Oryzias latipes: one gene and its partner. The protein of the gene in region 2 purifies or fractionates together with the protein of the main gene of each other region. This does not show direct contact. Links are inferred from orthologs where the notes say so. Each region holds a gene or a part of one and is shown on either strand. Other genes may lie near its edges.

Region 1 (10,688 bases), on a different chromosome or scaffold from region 2:
GGGGGCTGTCAGGAGGAGACGACGAGGAGTAACGGGGGGGGAGGAGCTTGTAGGTGGGTTGGCGTGGAGGAACAGCAGGGGGGCTCTCCAACTTTGAAACCCCCTGAGGGACAGAAAGGGGCGGAGCATTGACCACAACTCTTAAGGATGACATGGCTGATTGTCATGGGGGGGCCTACCTTGGAAGGGGATGACTCCGAAGGCGCCGACTCGGGTCGTCTGCGAGGAGGAACTGGGGGGGGCACCGGAGCATCCTCAGACCCCCGACTGAAACTGACTATGGAGGACACGGAAGAGGACCCTGAGACGAGCCGGAACACAGAACTGCTGTTAGAACGGGGGGGGCTCTGGGGGGGGTGATGCCACATGCACCTCACAATACTGGAAGCAATGCATTCTGGGAGCCAGCTGGTTGAACACCAAGTTTAACCTGCAGAAAATCTTGTTGGTCTGAAGTCCCAGAACTTTTCTGGAAGGTTCTGACCCGTAGAACCTTTCGTGTCCAGGTCTCATTCCAGTTTCCTTCAGTCACAACATCTATTTTAACCCCTAAGGATTAGTGGACCCTACTGTGGTTCTGGTTCTAATGAAGATCCGTTCAAAGCTGTGAAGAGCTGCTAACATTAAGTGTTTATCTTTTACAACCCCAAAACAACCCAGAATGCATTGCAGGGGGGATAAAATGTCAGCAGTGGAAATATGAATGAACGTCTTCAACCACAGCTGGAGAGGCAAGCTGACAGATCAGCTGTTTGTGGTCCGACACACTGACAGGACGATGGTTTCCATGGAGATGGACAGGTACTACAGATGACGCACACCTGAGACATGCACCTGTCTGCTAACATGAGGTGTGCATCAGCGAGCCTCCTAAAAGCTTGCCCAGCTGCTGAGCACACCTGAGGCGCTCTGACAGGTGGAAGGATGACAGTCAAGTGGGTCATACTAACGTGGGCCACGAGGCAGAGAGATGACAGCGAAGATGCTGTCGCAGGCTGAGAAGTGAAAAGGAAAGACAGGTGAGGAGGAGGAGTCAGACTCAAGGCTCATGTCTGTGCCAGTCAAACTGCAGGTGTTACAGGTAAACTCTGATGTCCTCAAGCGCCCAGTGGGCGGGAGCTAACATTAGCAAAGGCTTTAGAGACTTTGTGGGAGGAGTTAGCACGTCAAATTGCTAATTCTATCAAATAAACTCACCAGTGACCTAACCATAAACCCCCCCACCAATGTTAGAATTTTGATTTAAAATGTGGTCATGTGACCTGACCATGTAAGCAGGGATTATGGGTGGAGTTGGGCGCTGTGACGTGGGAAGGTCAGCCTCGCTGATTGAGTGGTTAGTTTATTTTTGGCGAGAAGTCTCAATAGGATGTTGGTGGGCGTGTCTTACTGGAATGGAAGGGGCTGCTGGGCCCTTGCGGCGAGTCAAAGACGCTGCCCACATCTGTGGAGCTGGAAGCAGCTGATGCTGGAGGCGGAGTCAAGGGGGTCCGGGGGGAGTTTGGCGCAGAGACTGCCCCACCCTCCGCTTCACTATCAGGTATGCGGCTATAGCTAATCTTCCTGGGCTCATTCTGCAAAGGTGTTGGGTGTCTCATGGTGCCGGGCCTTGTTGAGGTTGGGCGGATCCCTGGACTCTTCAGAGGACAGGTGTATCTCTTGGCCTAGACCAGGATTGAGATAGGTTCAGATTCAGCCGAATCCTTCTCCAGATCACGTTACCATGGTTACACTTACAAATCGGGGCAGGGATCGAGTGTTTCGAGGTTCAATCTCTAAAGACTTATTGAACAGATAATCAGCAAAGTCCTTCTCTGACAGGTCCCCCATCGGGTTCAGGTTCTCCAAGAATTTCTGCACCACAAACAAAACAGACAATCAGCTTAGAAAAGGTGGTTTCCACAGGTAGGAAGTAACACATGCACACACTGACCCTGATTTCGCTCTCCACCCTCAGGCAGTATGGCTGGTTCTGGTACTGTTGGATCTCTCCTGTGATCTCGGCCACCTTCCGCCTCTTGCTGAAATTGATCAGGTCTTTTCCATGTCTGCGCAGGAAGTCGGGGTTTCCTTCTTCTGTTTTCAGGATGTTTGTTAGGTAGATACCTGTGACACAGACATGTCCCAGCGTAAGCTGCCGTCTGGCTTCAAGAGGTCCACAGACCAGTCAGGCTGTACCAAAGAAGGGGACGCAGGGAGGGTTAATTGAGCGCAGTTTCATCAGGTACTTCTTGTAGTGGTCCTCACTCAGCTCGTGGGCTTCCTCCAGGATCCTCCTCTGACGACTGGGAATTTGCTGTAAACAAAAGCACCATCAGTTCAGAATTTTTTCTACAACACTTGAGCTTCAGCACCGTGGTGTCTCCTGGGGAGAGGAAGTTCTCCCAACTGAGCTGGATGAAAGTACAAGACCAGCCCACCAAAATGAGGAAGGTCCAATGCGCAAGGAGAACAAAAGAACCTTTGGAGCATTCAGTAAGATAGCCTAGTAGGAAAAAAACAGCTACAGGGTTCATGTGAACCAGTAGACTAACTGTTTTTGTCATTTGCCTTTAGGTGACAAATAAAATGTAACCCATCAACCTGTCATCACCTATCAAGACTTTAGGAGAGGTGACAGAAGAGTTTCTGAGGGTTTAGGAAGATCTTTGAGAGTGAGAGGATCAGGAATGGAGGAGAAGAAGGAAGATGTTCAGAGTTAAGGAAACTACAGAGGAACACATGGGATGGATCAGAAATGAATCCATCAGAGGAACACATCATGGATGTTCTGGAGATCAATGCAGGGAAGCAGATGGAGAAACAGTGATGATGGTGGTGAAAGGATGCTGAGGTTGGAGCTACCAGGAAAGCAGAGGTTCGTGGATGAAAGACATGAGGAGAAGGTTCCATGGAAGAAGATGATTCGCTGTGGTAAAACCTAAAAGGAGCAACTGAAAGATGACAAATATATATTTTTAAATCATGTATTTGATGACTACAAATCATTTTGCAGAATTTTTCCTTTTAAAAGAGAGTTTGTCTTCCTTAATCTACACCTGCTTGGTTCTGGTTGCAGGAGTCCACCCGGCTTGCAAAGCGCTAAGTCAGGTGACAGGTGTGTGGTTGTTCAACTGTGACCACAGGTTGGTTCTAAGAGACCGTTTGGAAAGAGCAAAATGTGTAAATGTGTAAATGAGTAATGTTTGGACTGTTGGAGAACCTGCAGAAAGGTGTGAGACGCCCAGAGAGAACAACACCACCCTATTGTGAGCCGATGGTCTAAACACCACCCTAACTATCATAATAGACATCCGTGTTGACAGCGTGACACAGCTTGACCTGCATTTATCTGGTGTTTTAAGTTGTACATGAAAACGAGGGTTGTATTGTACCCCTAACCCATCACAGAGGCTCAGGGACCTTGCCTAAAGGCACTAAAAACTCCTCAACTTTCAACTGCAATAAAAAGCAATGGCTTCTGCTTTATCTAAACTTGTTACTCTTACCAACCAGAACCAAAGACCGGTCCTGATGCAGAGGAGCCTTTTCTACGCTTGCCTACCTCAAAGGTGTGGTCCAGTCTGTACACAGGGGAGGAGTTCATGGCACTGACGACTTCCAGAACACCATTGAAGTTGTTGAGCTCCTGAAAAACCTGCAGGATCTCGATGATCCGAGAGACGACAGCGACCCGCTCCTCCAGATTCTCTGCCTCCACGATACATCTGTGGAGAGCAACGGCCTCAGCGCAACAAAGCAAACAGGTCACAGCTCGTGGCGGCCGCTTGGACATCTTACTTTTCCAGCCACAGGGTGAGGTTTGTGGTGTGACGGATCATCCTCAGCAGGTTGGGAGAGTGAATCTCTTTGTCCTCCTTGGTCCACACACTGCCGACCAGCTCTGAAGGCTGCACAGCCCTGCGCGGGGGATCAGAGTTGTGTCGGACGCCGCCCGATCAGCTGTGGATGTGTGTGGGCCTGGCCTTACCTGTAGAAGTCAGACTCCAACAGTGTAAGTTGGCGAGCGATCTCGATGGGATGCAGAGTCATGAGGTCAAAGTGCTCTGAGTTTCCCGGCTTACAGATGTGCCATTCAATAGGAGGAGGAGAGTTCTGGAAGGTGATGCTATGGCTCGGCAGGCTAACCTGAACCTGCTTCTTCCTCTGAATGATCTTTGTGATGGATTCCACCCACTTTCTCATTGCTTTACCTGTAACACATGACGCGGTTAACCTACCTGAGCCTCCGAGACTTTAGACTCAACTGAGACCTTCAGCCCATCTGCTGTGAGCCACAAACATCAGCCGGACCTCTGCGGTCTGGACTGGACCTCAACCTGACAGCTCAAGCAGGTGATTGAAGCAGGTGCTCACCTCTAACAGAAGCTATAAAGTCCTCCAACTGACCCAGCAGATGAATGTCTCTCTCAAAGTCGTAGAAGTGATGCTCCACCCAGTGTCGACAAACATTCAGCACTCTGCAGGGGGAGGAGTCACACATCAAACACAAGTCTGTAGGATTTCTTTAAAATGTTCTGAAGCAGCAGAAGAAGAGGAGATGTGTGCAGAAGACCCATCCTCCAGGTTCAGCTGGAGGTCGGCTGGTTGGATGAGGGCAGAAGACGGATGTCAAGGTGGCTTTTGCTCCATGGCAGCGACCCAATGAGGCCGCTTTTGACAGACATTTAAAAAGTCCTTCCAAGTCCCGCTCGGGAACCTTTTGACTAAATATGAACTGTTGACCCGGTCTACCTGCTTATTACTGCAGGCTCTGAATAGAAAGTTTCTATTAAATCACTAAACTCCGCCCCCTGCTCGTTGTTGAAGGTCCTGGCCAGCTCCTCCCACAGCAGCAAACACCTAGCTGGTGGGTCATCTGTCCTTCATTGCAGACCACAGTTCACCTTCCTACTTAGACTGCTGGTTTCCATGACCGGTTGTCTGAACAACGTCTGGATCCAGTGAGTCTGGTACGTCTATCCCGTATCCCACAGACGGGTCCTTCGATTCTGTCTCAGTGTACCTGAGTTGGACCGGCTGAACAAACTCTTTCCGGAAGCGTTTGAGTTCGGCGCTGAGCAGCTGATCCCCTCCTTCTGTCGGATCTGCCTCAGCCGGCCTTGGCTCTGGGATCTCAAACCTGAAACAGACCAGAACCTCAGCCAGGTTTCTTGTACAGGTTCTGTTGAGGTTTTAGCTGTGAACAGACTCATTTCAGTTTTCACTCTGAATAATGCAAAAACAAGAGTACAGGTGTGCTGCCCAGTTCCAATGACTTGACAGGTGAGCTCACCTTTCAATGAGCAGGTCTAGAAGCTCTTGAGGCTTACAGAACGATCTGTAAGTGGTCAGAAAGGTCCGTACAAAGTTTGGATCTGAAAAAACAGGAAACCTGTGAGCTGAGCCCTAATAAAGGGTTGGGGTTAGATTCCCCAGGTTTCACCTGCCTGACTTCACAACTCTACCTGAACACTTATATCACCTCACGCCATATCTGCCTGACTCCGGTCTGACCTGTCAGACCTCGTCTCACCTGTGTGATCTGCATGACTTCACAGCTCACCTGCGTACATGTGGAAAGTCAGCCTTTCGATCAATTTCAGGACCGTTCCCGCCTTGATGATGGGAATTCCAGACCTTGACTGGACATTTTCCTCAAACACCACGTTTTCCTCGGAGTCTGGCTCAGCAAAGCGGTACTCCTCGGCTCCCGGCAGCCTCATTTGCTCCTGCTTCTCCTCCTGCATCATGGCCGTGTCCAGCATGCGCTCCAGGGTGCTGCGGTACTGCAGCGAGACCAGCGCTGCCATCCAGCTGTTCTTTTCTTCTGCGGACTTGGCTGCAAACACCACGCTGTTCCCGTCTTTCAGGATAATCTCGAAGGCATGCCTGTACTCTCCCTCCTTGTCGTCCTTGTCGTTGATTTGGATTTTCCGCATGAAGAACTTTTCTTTGAGACGGTACTCTGCGGCCGAGCTGGTGCCAGGCAGCCGCGGTGGGCCGTGGTTGGACTTGCAGCAGACCATGAGGCCATCGAACAAAAAAATGTGGCGCTCGTGTTTTGCGCCCACCCGCGTCAGCGTGCCCTCCATAATGAACTCGTTGCAGCTCTGTCCGATGTCCTTCCCCTCCCAGCCATCGATGTTCTTCTGAATCTCGTTCATCTTCTTGATGGCCAGGTGCTTCCCCTTCATCTGGTGGCTGTAGAGGCGACACGCCGACTCACTGCAAGCAGCAAAGAAGAGGTAGGAGTCAGTCGCACCTGCAGACCTTTGATAGCTCAGAGCTTGAATCTCATCCTTGAACAGCTCCTGTTTGTCCCTGTGTGGCCATCATTTCATTTTAAAGCAGATCTTTGAGCAGCGTAGCAGATAACTGACAGCTCTGAATGTTTTTTTAACGTGTTCAGCAAACAGATCAGAGCTGAAGGCCTCTAGTGATGGACAGATGGTGCTAAAACAATAGGGGGTCAGGAATCTTCTGACACCGGGTGTATATTTTCTGCATCCACTTTGTACAACATAAAAACAGAGATTCTGATCCAAAATCTACTCAGAGCAGTTAAGCTTTCAGATGTTTTCGTAGACATTTGACACTTTTCTGTTCTTTAGAATAACTGACTTTTTATCCAACCTGTTATTTGTGTGCAGACGTTTTTACAGGTGGGACATAAGGCCAATGATCGGTAGGTCGTTGTGTGGTAAATGCAAATGTCCAATCTAGTACTTGTGTTATGACTGTCAGATGACTTATCTAGTACTCCTCTAGTACTTATCTAGTACTTCTCAGAAAAGTCTTCTAACAGTCATTTCAACCACAGAACATGTTCACTACTACATCATCAGTGTACTGTGGGAAAGTATATTTCTTTTCACTTGTAGTTGTATTTTTCTTATTTAGTCTTTAACAACTTAACCATTTGTAAATATCAGGCCATTGGTAAATGTCGGAGCTGTAATAACGTGAGTGACAGAGTAACGTAATACCCTTATACCCCAGAGGGTGGCATCAGGAGGCAGAAATCAAGCAGTATCAGTGATTAGATCAGAATCAGTGCTGCACAGGGCAGAAGGAAAAGAGCCAACACAAAAGCCAGCTGTTCCTGTGACGTCATTTCCGGATGAGCGTTATCTAGTGCTGATCGTGTTTGACTGTTGCTTTCTTGTTTGGCATTAGCCTGACTACTATTGCTTACTTTAATTGTTATTTGGTTTAATATTAAAATCTAGTACCGTTTAGCAGCGAATACACTAATGTTAACCGCTTGCTGTCCACTTTTTCTCAGTTTGCTAATGAAACTGCTTCTCTTTAGCTAAACACCGCTAGCCTGCCTCCTTTAGTGTAGATTGTGGTACATGTGTTGAGTGTATTCTTGTGTTAGACTTGGAGGCCAAGCTGGATCAGTTAGGAGTGCGGCTCCGCACAGTGGAAGCTTAGCCGGCTAGCCAGGGCTAGAGTTAAGAACGGGCCTAAAAAATCCAGCCCGACCCGACACAGGCCCACGGGCATTAAAGCAAACCCCGGCCGAACCCGACCAATTAACTTGATTTGCAGGCCCGAGCCCGAAGCAAACCGAAATTTCAATTTATCCCATAGTATTTTTGGCAGGAAAAAAAAACCCAGATTTCCTAAAGGTAAAAAAATCGACATAAACAAAGTGGTCACTGCAGCCGCGTGCGTAGTCAAGCTCGCTGTTGTGGCATAGAGTTCCGCCGGAAGCGCTGCGCATAGGATCCTCCCTACATGATAAATGCATTTGCACAACGAAATAACGCTGGAAGACAGAATAAGAGGCCAGACAAAGAGAGTGAAAGAGACATCTTGATGCGCACTCGCTTCATTACGCGGAGAAATAAACAAAATAAACAAAATAGATACGGGCTTGCGGAGGGAAGATTACATTCACGACACGTTAGGCCTGCACAATATACCCCAAATGTATCGTTATCGCAATATCCAGCTCTGCAATATGCATATCGCAAAAAGTAGCGAAAATCGCAATAAATCGTACACCTTAAATGTGTTAATACAACCTTATGGCAGCTTGAAGCATTTAACAAATGAAATAAATCCCTTTATGCATTTGACCAATCAGATGGAGCCCTTCACGTTGTTGACCAATCAGATGGAGGCCTATTATGTTAGATGTTTGTCTCCTATGTCGACAAAGGTCATTTAGAGTATAATTTTTAAACTGTTACAATGAAATGGTAATGATGTTTTTGGTTATTTTGTTATTTGTTTATATACCGCAAATTATACCATTATCGCAATATTAATCTCTAATATCGCATATCGCGAGTTTTCCTCATATCGTGCAGTTCTACGACACGTGCGCAGAGCTGCGGGTGGCCAGCTCCCCCTTTTTCTGCCAGTTGCTGGACCACAGTGTATGTCAATCAACGGTGGGCTGGTGACTGGGGGGCGGGGTCTACCTGTGTGTGTGTGTGTGTGTGTGTGTGTGTGTGTGTGCGTGTTCGGTGAACGTTCTCCCTCTGAGTAAGAAGAAGCTGGCTGTGCCTTTCGGTTCGTGCAGTGACCGTTCTGACATACAGGATTAATAAAGAGCTGTTTGACAACCGCCCGCCTAAGGAGCTTCTTTGCAGCCATTACAATATATTTATTAAAAAGTCAGCGTGAGAGAAGCCCGGCCCGAACCGACCCAAACGTAATGATTGTCATTTAGTGCCCGACCCGACCTTTATGACTCGGGCTTAAGATCTTACATCTAGCCAGGGCTAACTTAGTTAGCACCCCAGCGCTTTCCCAGCAGCCGGGAGACACACAGGGGTTTGCACCGGTTGGGAGGAAACATAGTGCTAAACGCTAAAACTTACAACACCCGAGACTCCACATTAGTAATAGGTTCTCCCCCCTCAGTGACACACCCGCTGAACCCCCAACTCTGGTTTTCGGCTCTTCTGAAGTTAGAAACGTGGAGCTCCCAGCGGCTACAGTCAGGTGTTATCCGGGGGCCAGAGTTGGTGACATCGAGGGGAACCGTAGGATGTTAGCTCAGAGTAAGTCCAGGTTCCGTCGAGTCGTGATTCACGCAGGCGGTAATGATGCCCGACGGAGACAATCAGAGGTGGTTAAGTTAAACGTAGCTTCGGTGTGTAAACTGGCTAAGACGATGTCCGACACTGTAATTTTCTCTGGTCCCCTGCCGAACTTAGTCAGTGATGAAATGTACAGCCGCTTTTCATCATTTAACCGCTGGCTTTCTAGATGGTGCCCAGAAAACGGCGTTGGTTTTGTGGATAACTGGAGCGCGTTTTGGGGGAAGCCCGGTCTCATGCGGAGAGACGGCGTCCATCCCACCCGGGACGGTGCCGCTCTTCTTTCTAGAAACATTTCTGCTAGCCTTAGTCTGTTAACCTGACAATCCAGAGACGAGACCCGGGCGCAGAGCAGCAGGGGAAAACGCTCCTCTGAGCCTCCCTTAGGGTTAGTGCCGGTGCAAAACCCATGCAGGGAAAGTCAAGCAGGTCCTAGCTTTAGCTTATGTGCTGAAAGACAAAAGAAAGGAGCGCATCATAGAAACCTCAAAGTGACAGACAGCAGTTCTCACAAGCAGAATTAAGATGTAATTAATTGCGGTTTATTAAACATTCCATCCATTTCCTCCAAGTCCCTCTTAGTCAACGAGTTAATCATTGATAACAACCTCAGTCTTTTAGCCTTAACAGAAACTTGGCTCCATCAGGATGACTATGTTAGATTGAATGAAGCAACCCCCCCCACTTATGCTAACTATCAGAAATCCAGGATTTCAGGTAAAGGAGGGGGTTTGGCAGTAATATCACAGTCTAGCTTACTTCTCAGCCCTAAAGTTAAAAATGCTTATAATTCATTTGAAAGCATCATATTGTCTTTAAGTCACCCAAACAGGAAAACTCCAAAACCTGTTTTACTCATAATTATTTATCGCCCCCCCGTCCCATATTCAGAATTTTTAACTGAGTTTTCCGACTTCCTATCGACTATTGTCTTAGATTCTGATCAAACTATAATATTAGGGGATTTTAATATTCATGTTGATGACCCCAGTGACTGTCTAGGAAAGGCTTTTGCAGCTTTATTAGATGATGTTGGTTTCACCCAAAGTGTGAATGAACCCACTCACTGTCATAAGCACACCCTGGATCTTGTTCTAACCCATGGTATAGAGATCAGCCAGCTGAGTGTCCTTCCTCTTAACCCAGAGGTGGGCACTGAGGGCCGCAGTCCTGCATGTTTTCCAGCATACCCTGCTCTGGCATGTTCTGATTGGCTGGACACACCTGAACCAGGTAGTCAGCCATGAGTAGGGGAAGAGTATCTGGAAATCATGCAGACACACCGGCCCTCGAGGCCTGGAATTGCCCACCCCTGTCTTAACCCCATCATTTCCGATCACTTTATGATTACCTTCCAGTTTACACTGGAACATCCTTCTGTCCCAGTGAATAAGAAACAGCTTAGAAGAACCTTAACTGACCGTTCTGTGTCTGAGTTTAAACACACAGTTCAGCCAGTACTTAGTGATATTCTGAGAAAATACTCTGAGTCCAGCTCCCATAGTATCAGTCCTAGTATAAATGACCACTTTGTTAATGATGCCTTACAAGCCCTCAGGAGTGCACTCCATGTTGTTGCCCCCTTGAAACCTAAGTTCGTCAGACAAAACCGAGTAGCACCGTGGTTTAACGCTGAAACTCGTTCTC
Region 2 (10,688 bases):
TGCATTTGTTGTGTGTGTGTTAAACCTCACTTGTTCTGTTTGAACCACAGAGGAGGACGGACGGCGGCGTGGTGAGCCATGATCCTTTATTTTTACAGATGTTAACAGGGTGAACTGCATTGAAAGTCATATAATACACCTCTGAAGCTGTGAGAGCGCCCCCCCTCCCCCCCCCCGTGGCATGGGGGGGGCGCCGCATGATAAATTGGCATATAGATATGTTTTAGTACATTCTCCCGCCCTGCTGAACGTTAAAAAATAGAGACGGCGCCGTGATCCCGGTTCAGGGTTTGTGTTCACATTAAGGAGTGCCGCCGCTCCACACAGGCAGGCGTGTGCACCGAAGGCACGTCTAGACCGCGTTCATGATGGTTAAGGGGCGTGGCACAGAGCACGGCGGGACTGGGGGGGTGAAGCGGCCGCCGACAGGAAGCAGGCCATGAAAACAGAACCTGGATGAGAGCTGCAGCACCACCAGACGGCAAGCCGGACACAGACGGCGAGCCGGACACAGACGGCGAGCCGGACACAGACGGCGAGCCGGACACAGACTGAGGCCACGTAAGGTGGTGGGGGCTGGAGGTCAAGGAGTAGCTGGAGATTTAAAAAAAACAAAAACACTTTGATTTCAAGCTAAATGTCAAAGAAAAACCCCAAGTTTGAGTTCAAAAGCGCTCCACAGAGTTCTGGATCTCATAAATTCTGGATCCACAGAGTTCTGGATCCATTGATGCTGCCGTTTGGCTCCAGACTGAAATGGCAGAAACAGGATCGTAACTTTGGGCTAAAACAAAAAGAACCTCTGCTTCTTTTCCGGGTCGGCGTCGGCCCGTCTTCACGCTCATCTCCAGTTTAGTTCCGAAGTTCTGCACCGGTTTCCTTTAGTGTCATTTCTTCGTCAGGCTCCGTGTGATGACAGGTCGATCCGACAGCAGCAGACGGATGAGTTTGTGGAAAACCACCTGATCCAGGTGAGCTCCAGCAGCAGCCAATACCAGCACATGGCGTTCAGAGGGGGCGGGGCTAGCAAGGGTTTCCTGGTGGGGTGGGGGGACTGTGCACTTAAAAAAATCTGTGTCTAAAGACAAAACACAACAGCCCCCTCCCGCAGTAATGCTAAGTGAAGTGGGGGTACACCCCGCTTTAAGGCGGTTCTGAACCGAAGGCGCAGCTTTAAGGGCTCTGAGAACGGGTCGGGTTTCTGTCAAGAACCGGATTTGAGCAGAAACTGGATCTCGTCTCCAGGCTGAAGGCTGAGCTCAGAGACAGGGGGGGGGGGGTTAGTTTGGCACGGGACCTTCTCCATACTCAGTTAATGCAGGAAAAAATAAGCAAGGGGGGGTGGGGGGTTAGTGAGGTTAGTTGCCGGCCGGCGGCCCCCACCGGCGGTGATTCCAAAAACCAAACCCCGGCTGCTTTCAGGTTTGGGTTCGTTAAGGATTCTCAGATGATCACAGTGGTTTCCAATTCAACTGGGGGGGGGGGGGGGGGGGTGGGGAATGAGCGAGAGCAGGATGACGACCCCCCCCAGTCCTCCTCAAGTCCAGCCTCCCCCGTGGTTGGGTCCCCCCCGTCGTTCCACGTCGTCACTGTCAAGGTGTGGTTGGCGAACAGTATGGAGATCCTGGGGGGGGAAACCAGGCGGGGTTAGAGCAGAGAAACCGGAGCTCCGCCCACTCCGCCCTCCTTCCACCACAGGAAGTGACTCTTCCTGCACGAACATTTCTCCTGTTTTCAACATTTCCACCTTAAATAATGGCAGACGTCCCTGCAGAGGGTTTCTGTCTCCTGCTAATCAACGGTTGCCAGGCAACCGGCTCTTCATCTGTCCTCTTCAGAGACATTCATCATCCTCCTGCTAGGTATAGAAATGATGCAGGTTTGGAGGAGAAGTTAGCAGATTTGCAACGTTTTTCACTTCAAATCATCCTGTTTTCTAGAATGTCAGGAATGCTGCCATGTGCTGCAAAAACAGCACAGAAAACGTGACAAAGAACCTTTTTTTGTTTTTGGGGACATTTTTACTCCAAAAGACTCAGATTTGTTCAACTTTATTCGGTTTTTTATTTTTAATTTCTGTTTCAACAGACCTGGGATCCTTTTTTTAAATATCCAGCTTTATCATATTTAAAATGCTTCGTTTGAAACAACAAAGCTCAATTGTTCATAATGAACAAAAAGATCGCTTTATGGATTCAAACCTTTGGCTTTGTGCCGTTAGCGCCTGAAAGGCTGAGCGGGAGCCAACGGAGATTCACACCTTTCCTGTTTTACTTTGAAGTTCTTGTTCTGTTGAACTCCTTTTCATTTGTATAAATGTGAGAGCTCTAGAATCATTTCAGGAGTTCAGGAATACTAATGTCATTTTTAAACTGTTTTTCTCTAAGAATCTCGAAAACCCTGGCAGTAACTGAATCCTCCAGGTGGGTACAGAAATGGAGCCGATGGAGCTCGTCTCCACGCTCCTGGCCTCCCACAGAGCCAGCCTGCTCCAGCCTGTGGGAGGGGCGTTCACCTGGATGAGGGGGGGCCCCGGGGTCGCGGGCGGCTCTCATCTGAAGCTCTTCTGCTGCTGCATCAGGCCCACGTTCTCGTAGACTCTGGAGCTGTCGTCCCTCATCCTGACAAACCCAAACACACGTGAGCGGCGAGGAGACGCCCAAGACGCGGGAGTTCGTGCCGACGCCACTCACTCTGTGCAGGTGGGGGTGGGGAGGGGGGTGCAGGGGGTCAGGGGGCCCTGCTCTCCAGCGGTCAGGTCGGACAGCGAGTACTTGATGTTGGTGTACTCCCGTCCTTTGATCTTGCTTTTCTGCAGAGAGGAGGAGGAGGAGGGGGGTCGGCGTCCGGGACGGAACGGCGAAGGAACGGCGACAGCCCGACGCTCACCTGCTCCTCCTCGATGCGCCGCTGCAGCGTCTCGATGTAGTGCTTGACCGCCATGTAGATGAAGCGGTACTGCGCCTCCGTCTGCACCATCCCCGAGCGCTTGGAGCGGACCATCTGGATGGTCTTCGGCACGTCCATGTCGCAGTCCACGCCTGCAGGGGCAAAGGTCAAAAAGGCCTCAGAGATGCTCAAGGCTTCAACACCCAGAGCTCCACATGTGTCCGTCAATACCGTCTCTTTAGCAGAAACACGACAGTTCAGAGAAAAGGTTTAAAAAGATTTTTTTTCTCTTGATAAAAATCCATTTCAGAAACTACATTTACTCTCTGAAAAGTATATTTTCTAAATTCTCTCAACTTACAGAATCTGTTACTAAATACTTTTTTGCCTCACTATAAAAAAATAGTGAAATCAAATGTTAAAGTCTAAGTTCAAGACAAAAAAAATTAACTACATTTACAGTAAAGTCACAGTTAAACCAAAGTCAAGAAGATTAAAAGTAAATATAAAAGTTACAATTTCATCAAAATAAAGTCACCGTAAATTTAAACCAATTTGAATAAGTACCAGTAAAGTAGAAATAAATACAAATAAAAAGAGGGGAAAACTAAAGTAAAGTAATCTTTAAGTTCAGTCAAAGCTAACAAAGTTACATGAAGGTAAATGTAAAGATGACAAAGTATAGTTACATGAAAAAAAAGTAAATGTAAAGGAAAAGTAAAGAAGTAAGTTAAATAAAGTTAAATTATAGTAAAACAAAGTAAAAGTATAGTAATACTTCTGTTAAAGTAAAGCAAAGGTTAATATAAAGTAAAAGCAGAGTAAAACTTGATCCAATAAAAGCCGAATCCCACTTAAAGTAGAGTAGAGTAGAGCAGAGTAGAGCAGACCAGACCAGAGCAGAGCAGAGTAGAGTAGAGCAGAGTACAGTAGAGTAAAGTAGAGTAAAATAGAGTACAGTACAGTACAGTACAGTAAAGTAGAGCAGAGCAGAGCAGAGTAGAGTAGAGTAGAGTAGAGCAGAGTAGAGTAGAGTAGAGCAGAGTAGAGTACAGTACAGTAGAGTAAAGTAGAGCAGAGCAGAGTAGAATAGAGCAGAGCAGAGTAGAGCAGAGTAGAGTAGAGCAGAGTAGAGTAGAGTAGAGCAGAGTAGAGTAGAGTAGAGTAAAATAGAGTACAGTACAGTAGAGTAAAGTAGAGCAGAGCAGAGTAGAATAGAGCAGAGCAGAGTAGAGCAGAGTAGAGCAGAGTAGAGTAAAGTAGAGTAAAATAGAGTAAAATAGAGTAAATTACAGTACAGTAAAGTAGAGCAGAGTAGAGTAGAGTAGAGTAAAATAGAGTACAGTACAGTACAGTAAAGTAGAGCAGAGCAGAGTAGAGTAGAGTAGAACAGAGTAGAGCAGAGTAGAGTAAAGTAAAATAGAGTACAGTACAGTAGAGTAAAGTGGAGCAGAGCAGAGTAGAGTAGAGTAAAATAGAGTACAGTACAGTAGAGTAAAGTAAAGTAGAGCAGAGCAGAGTAGAGTAGAGTAAAATAGAGTACAGCACAGTAGAGTAAAGTAGAGCAGAGCAGAGCAGAGTAGAGTACAGTAAAATAGAGTACAGTACAGTACAGTAGAGTAAAGTAGAGCAGAGCAGAGTAGAGTAAAATAGAGTACAGTACAGTAAAGTAGAGCAGAGCAGAGTAGAGTAGAGTAAAATAGAGTACAGTACAGTAGAGTAAAGTAGAGCAAAGCAGAGCAGAGTAGAGTAAAATAGAGTACAGTACAGTAGAGTAAAGTAGAGCAGAGTAGAGTAGAGTAGAGTACAGTAGAGCAGAGTAGAGTAGAGTAGAGTAGAGTAGAGTAGAGCAGGGCAGAGCAGAGCAGAGCAGAGCAGAGCAGAGTAGAGTAGAGTAGAGCAGAGTCCAGCCTGTGCTGGTTGGTTTTACTGTTTTACTGCAGACGTGCAGAACGTTCTTCAGCCCGGTCCGGGTTCTGGAGGATCTGCAGGACTCACCTTTTTCTCGGATCACGTCTATCAGGATGTCGATGACGATGAAGGTTCCGGTCCGACCGATCCCCGCGCTGAGGACAGAAGCAGAGCGGCTGAGCGGCTGCTGCCGTGCGTCGGCCGTCCGGCGCCGCCGCTGCCGTTACCTGCAGTGGACCACGATGGGCCCGGCGTCCGCGATGCTCTCCTGCTTCAGGTTGACCTCCTCTAGGAAGTCCAGGACTCCGCCCGGGTCGGTGGGGACCCCGTGGTCCGGCCAGGCCCTGAAGTGGTACTGCCACACCGTGCGTTCCGTGTTTCCCTGAAAAAAGCGTCAATCCCGATGAGGGTTTCTGGGAAGACGGTGGCGGCGAATTCCGTCCGAGCCGCTCACCTGCCCCACTTTGGAGAGTTTGAGCTCTCGAAGGATGTAGTCGTGCGCGGACGTCTCCCTCACGTTGCGGACCCGCATGGCGCCGTACTCTTTCAGCGCCGACATGTCGGGCCAGTACTTCACACACTTACTCTGTCAGAGACACACAGTTATTCTCTCTGCTCGCTTCTGAGCGGCGAGGAAGAGAAGCAGAGGGACGTCAGACAAACCCAGATTGAGGCAGATTAGAGAGGAAACAGTCCTGGGGCCTGTTTCAGAAAGGAGGTTCGACCAACTCTGAGGATAAACTTGAACTCTGAGTTGGTCAATCGGGAGATTAACAACTCTGAGTTTTCTGTTTCAGAGAAGCTGATCGGAGTTAGGTCAATCACCTCTGAGTGGACTGATTCAGAGTTAAGCGTGCGCACCGCGACTATAAGAAGCCATTATCAATGGAGCGCAGATATCATGAGTCACCATGGCAACCGTGAAAAAAAGAGGTTTGCGTATTTTTCTCCAGCTGAACTTGACGTGCTGCTGCAGAGTTACAGTGAATATGAGCACATATTCCAGAAGAAAAGCAACACCGCTGCATCTGCAAAACAGAGACAGTTAGCGTGGGAAACATAGCTGCTCAAGTTAATGCCTAAGTTTGCATTTAAATCATTGTTATAAAATATTGGCTGTAATAACTTTCTAAATAGCGTAAGGAGTGAAATAAAAAATGGCGATATTTAGGTTTACTTTTGAAGTGTTATTCCTGGTGTAAATGCATGAAATGCTGCATAGTGTACAGAACCAATCTGGGGGGGGGGGATGCATTTAACGTCGGTAATGTTTAGAGGACTTTTTTGTTAACCTTCCCCTCTTGCAAACGTTGGTCAGTTTAATATTAATACATGCAATTTTTTTTTTTGTGTGTTTTTAAAAGTGAACTTTTGTCTACTGTTGAACCTTTCGCTGCGCGAAGACTTCTATTTTCTTTTCTCTCGTCTTTCCGACCGACCGTGGTCAGAAGCGCAGGGGAGATTTCCTTCAGGGCTGAAGGGAATTCTCCTTCGGGGTTCACTTCCCGTTGGAAACCCTCAACCTCCAGAGCGGATTAAGAATGACTCCAAAACAGTTATTCTGGGAATGACACCTTCTCTTTATTTAACTAAGTGCTCCGTCCTCCGAACACACAATATATACCACGCACACACCTCCGCTCCGCTCCGTGCTCACCCCCCCCCCCCCCCATCTGCACCTGCACTCGCCCCTCCCCTTGTCTCTCGTGGATCGCACCCCGCTCAGCACACACACACTGCAACACTACCCTTGTATTGATCAAGTGGTATAGGTTTATATGGGATTAAGAAAGTAAGCAGTGCTAGCAAATTGTGTTTCCAAAAAGTAATTGTTACATTAATCTAATTCAATGTCCCTGATTTCATTTTCATGTAGATGCAATCCTGCAGGAATTAAAAGAACATGGCAGCAGCTAAAAATGAAAAAAAAATCGAGTCTTCTCAAAATCCTCGTACGAGGTAAATGTAATTCTCTATGAATTAATGCAGCCTCCTCGTCTATTGGGTCCTCCAAAAAAGAACAAGCCATTCTTGTCACTTAGACCGTCTCTGTGTGACGGACATGTGGACAATGAAGGTTAAAGCGAAAAATACCGCTTCGTCTTTAAAAAGGGGAGGGGACCGGCAGAAACCTTGAGTTTAGAGAATAAAACCTGCTCCCGACCAGGTTAGGTTCACAGCATAAGTAACCATGGATACTGACTCCGAGTAAAAGTTACCTCTCTTTCAGAAACGGGTTTGACTTACTCTGCTTTCTCTGGTTTAACAAACCTCCCATTCTGAAACGGAAAACCCAGGGTTTCCCTGATTTCAGGGTTAACGCACTCAGAGTTTACACTTAACCTCCTTTCTGAAACAGGCCCCTGGAGTCAGACATTTGTTTGGATTCAGTCAAACAAACTCAGATTATCTAAAACCCTTCAATGATTAGAAAGAAGTTTAATACAAAAAGGAGTTTTTAGAATGAAAAAAGCATATTTACGGTACAGACCAAAAGTTTGGACACACTGAATGAGAAGCTGTGAATGTACTGTATATGCTCAGTTTTATATAGATATTATACTTATATATATTGATATATTCCACAAAGGAATTCAAAGGGGAAGAAAGGAAAACGGTCAGATCACATTGGTCAAAAAAAGCTGAAAGCCTCCAAAAGATTTTGCTAAAAAGAAGCGATAAATGTATGGAAGACTTGTCGGCGGCCCTCACCTTTCCTCGTTCCACCTCTTTGGTTGTCATGACGATGACCCGCGAGTTCTCCTGAAACACCATCCTCCAGAAGTCACTGATGGTGTTCTGCAGGCAGCCCTGAGTGGCGATGTAGCTCTTCTTCAGCTTGTGGCTGTTGCACTTGGCGTCCAGCTCCGGCTGCAAACCGGCAGAACCAGAAGCTGCACAAACCCGAGCGCAAACGGACCCGCAGAGCCGGACGGCGAGAGGGAGGCTCACCATGATGATGTTGGCGTTGATGTAGTCCGAGCCGGGCTCGTTGGGGTCCCCGTCGTTCAGCACCACCCGCGTGTGGTCGACTGCAAACACAAACGGCAGATGAGAAGAGGGCGGGGTCGAGCGGCCTGGAGTGGCGGCGGCGCCGGGGGCTCTCACAGGGCAGGATGTTCTTGTAGCGGTTCTTGTTCTTGTTCTCCGCCCTCTGTCCCTCTTTGCGGCTGTACAGCAGTTTACACTCCTGCTGCTGCAACGTCTGCATGCAGAGAAAAGAGGAAACTCCAGGTTCAGATCTGCTTCTGGACACAGCTTTAGCGGCGTTTGGCAGAAAACGCCGACACAAACGTGAAGCTGCACGTTCATGTAAACACAAATTCTATTATTCTATTTTATTCATCATAGCCGCTTTTTCAACAACTGTAGTTTATTGAGGACGTTATTCCAAATATCTGTACACGTCTATACACTCAAAAAAATTGGATGAACTCAATTTAATTGTGGGCAGGATTTCCATCCAATAAATATGAGTCGCACCAAATCAAAAAAATTCCTCCATGTAATGAAATATAATCGAGTTAGTCGAACTCAATTTTATCAAGAAGACAAAGCAAAAAACATGGTGTGACACTATTCTGGAAGGTAGAACCTCCACATGCAGACAGACTGATCCACTGAGCCGACTCTCCTGTGGCCTCAGGCATCCAACACTATAAAGACAGAATCATTTTCTACATAAATGAGGTTTGTCGTCTTTGATCTTACTGGGAGAAACCCAGTTGAATCCATTCCAAGCCACAGTACCTTTTTTACGTGGAAAAACACGAACAAAAGTTCAAAGGATTTGAAGGACCAAAAGTCATGGCAGGCATTAGACGAAAGAGCTGAACGTTTTAATAGTTGAATGGTTAAAATAGGTGAAAAATTGTAGCCGTAAAACGGCGGAAGATACTATAAGAAGAATAAATAAAGAGAAAGAGGAAAACAGCATCCAACCAATTAAAGAATAGAATCACAGAAGAAATGATTTTGCAGAAGGTGCAGTCTGCACATGTGCACAGCATGCCCCCTAATTATGAATTTATTTATTCAATACTGGAGTTTATAGGTGAAACTATTAATACATTTTATGTTAGGTCAATTAAATATAGATACATATTTTTAAAATAAATATATTTAAATAAAACAAACGGCATTTACTTGTGTTGTTACATGAAAGAGGGTTTGAATCCCTTTTTTGAGTGTAGTTTTTTCCCAAATACTTTGTTTTTTTTAAAAGTAAATTCAGAAAATGATGAAGTGACATTTCTGCACAGCAATCACTCCTCATGGTTATTGATCTGTTAGAATAACACAAAGACTGCTGCCCCTAAAGCCAAAACTACACTTCTTCTTCTTCAGGTGATTGAAGCTGAACTTCTGGAAAAAAACACAGGAAACCGGCTCCATCTGCTTTCAAAATAAAAGTCTTCTGACATGATGAGGACTTCCCCTCTGGCTCCCCAGACTGCTGACATTGCAGGGACGTTTGGAGCTGTAGGGGTGTCTGAAAGTGTTTCTTTGAGGAGGAGCCGCAGTGACCCACGGCTGGGTATTCCTCTGCCGGTGGGGGGGGTCCGCGTCTCGCTGGCACGCCAGGAAAAAGGCTTTTCTTTAGGCGGGTGTGCTCTGAAGCACAGAGGTTCATGACTAAATGTAAGTATTGGCTTCCATGACAACGTTTTAAAGTTATAAACCACTGTATTATGGCAGCTACACGCCAGCGGGGGAGACCGGCGACCGTTGATGATGTCATGGAGTGGTAGTCATGTCCGGATTTTCCATAACCGTCTTGGAGGGATAAATGTCGGGGTAGGGGATGAATTCAGATTCAGCCTAAACGTTGGAGGAATGTCTTTTGAGTTCCAGTACAAACACTCATCAAGCACATCAGAAAGATCCTTCATGATTCTGACCGTTAAACGTGCTGCTGCCGCCGCTGAGGTTACGGTGGGATTTCAGAGTAAAAGCACGCTCCCTGTGCCTTCAGAGTAAAAGCAGGTTGCTCCTCTTTCTCAGACCACTCACCTCAAACTCCTCCCAGAAGCCCTGCTTCACCTTGTCCGTGGCCTCGGCCAGCTTGCTGAGCTCACGGACGCGGCTTTCGATCTCCGCTGCGTTGATGCGCGTCGTGTTGAGCGGCTGCAGACCACAGCAGAAAACATTTAGTGCAAAGGTCGCTCCTGAAGGTCAAGACGGCGCCACATTAGAACATGAAGACATTACGGAACAGACAGGAAGAGATTATAGACATGTTTCATGCAAACGGTGAACAGAAACTTGGTGTTTACAGACTTTTATATATTTATTTGAAAGATAATTGGCTGGTTTCTTCAGACGAGTGTCAACGACAGGAAAGAATCCTCTGATCCATGTCGACACACGGTGTTAACATGCAAACCAAATGTCCCGCCACAGGGAAGGTGTGCAGGAATGCCTTCTTTCCATCCATTTAAATGTAAATACATCTACTTTCTAAAGTTTATAGGTTTTTTTTGTTGAATTTGAATGTTTTTCTTTAAACAAACGGAGGCAGGAAAAGGACAAACACTCTGCATTAACGCAGACATAAACCCAAGCTTCTCTCACGTGGAACCAATCCAGCTGTTTATTCTATTGTTTCCACGGAAACCCCTCGGGGGGGGCGGCGTGAGACTCCCAGACCTGTTTGAGCTGCAGCACGGTGCCCAGCGTTTCCACCATGGGGTTCTTCTTGTAGTGCTCCACCAGGTCCGTGAGGGAGTCGAACTTCTCCCCTCCGCCCACGTCGTACTTCAGGTCGTGCTGGAAGAGCGTGACAGTGAACACGTGCACGCGGCAGCAACACCCGCCTGACTGCATGTCACCTTCCTAAAGGCAGCCTGGATGGAGGCCGGTCTCCATGGCAACCGTCCAGCTTGCTG

The links.
Region 1: the proteins of ptpn11 (region 2) and sos1 purify together in Homo sapiens (affinity purification with western blotting; 4 studies listed by BioGRID and IntAct, with this or other methods). This does not show direct contact. The link is inferred for Oryzias latipes from reciprocal best matches to the Homo sapiens genes PTPN11 and SOS1.

The regions. Positions count from the first base shown.
Region 1 is NC_019859.2:92,570-103,257, forward strand, and holds part of sos1 (son of sevenless homolog 1), read right to left. Parts: intron 6,208-10,688; coding exon 5,546-6,207; intron 5,358-5,545; coding exon 5,276-5,357; intron 5,123-5,275; coding exon 5,006-5,122; intron 4,461-5,005; coding exon 4,357-4,460; intron 4,194-4,356; coding exon 3,971-4,193; intron 3,901-3,970; coding exon 3,781-3,900; intron 3,708-3,780; coding exon 3,545-3,707; intron 2,297-3,544; coding exon 2,179-2,296; intron 2,107-2,178; coding exon 1,934-2,106; intron 1,855-1,933; coding exon 1,738-1,854; intron 1,665-1,737; coding exon 1,391-1,664; intron 996-1,390; coding exon 951-995; intron 302-950; coding exon 180-301; intron 104-179; coding exon 1-103.
Region 2 is NC_019870.2:1,405,490-1,416,177, forward strand, and holds the end of ptpn11 (tyrosine-protein phosphatase non-receptor type 11), read right to left. Parts: intron 10,570-10,688; coding exon 10,450-10,569; intron 9,928-10,449; coding exon 9,814-9,927; intron 8,006-9,813; coding exon 7,909-8,005; intron 7,833-7,908; coding exon 7,753-7,832; intron 7,672-7,752; coding exon 7,513-7,671; intron 5,387-7,512; coding exon 5,255-5,386; intron 5,183-5,254; coding exon 5,028-5,182; intron 4,956-5,027; coding exon 4,888-4,955; intron 3,042-4,887; coding exon 2,890-3,041; intron 2,813-2,889; coding exon 2,694-2,812; intron 2,622-2,693; coding exon 2,552-2,621; 3' UTR 2,516-2,551; intron 1,625-2,515; 3' UTR 70-1,624; downstream 1-69. UniProt on the Homo sapiens protein: Acts downstream of various receptor and cytoplasmic protein tyrosine kinases to participate in the signal transduction from the cell surface to the nucleus. Positively regulates MAPK signal transduction pathway. Dephosphorylates GAB1, ARHGAP35 and EGFR.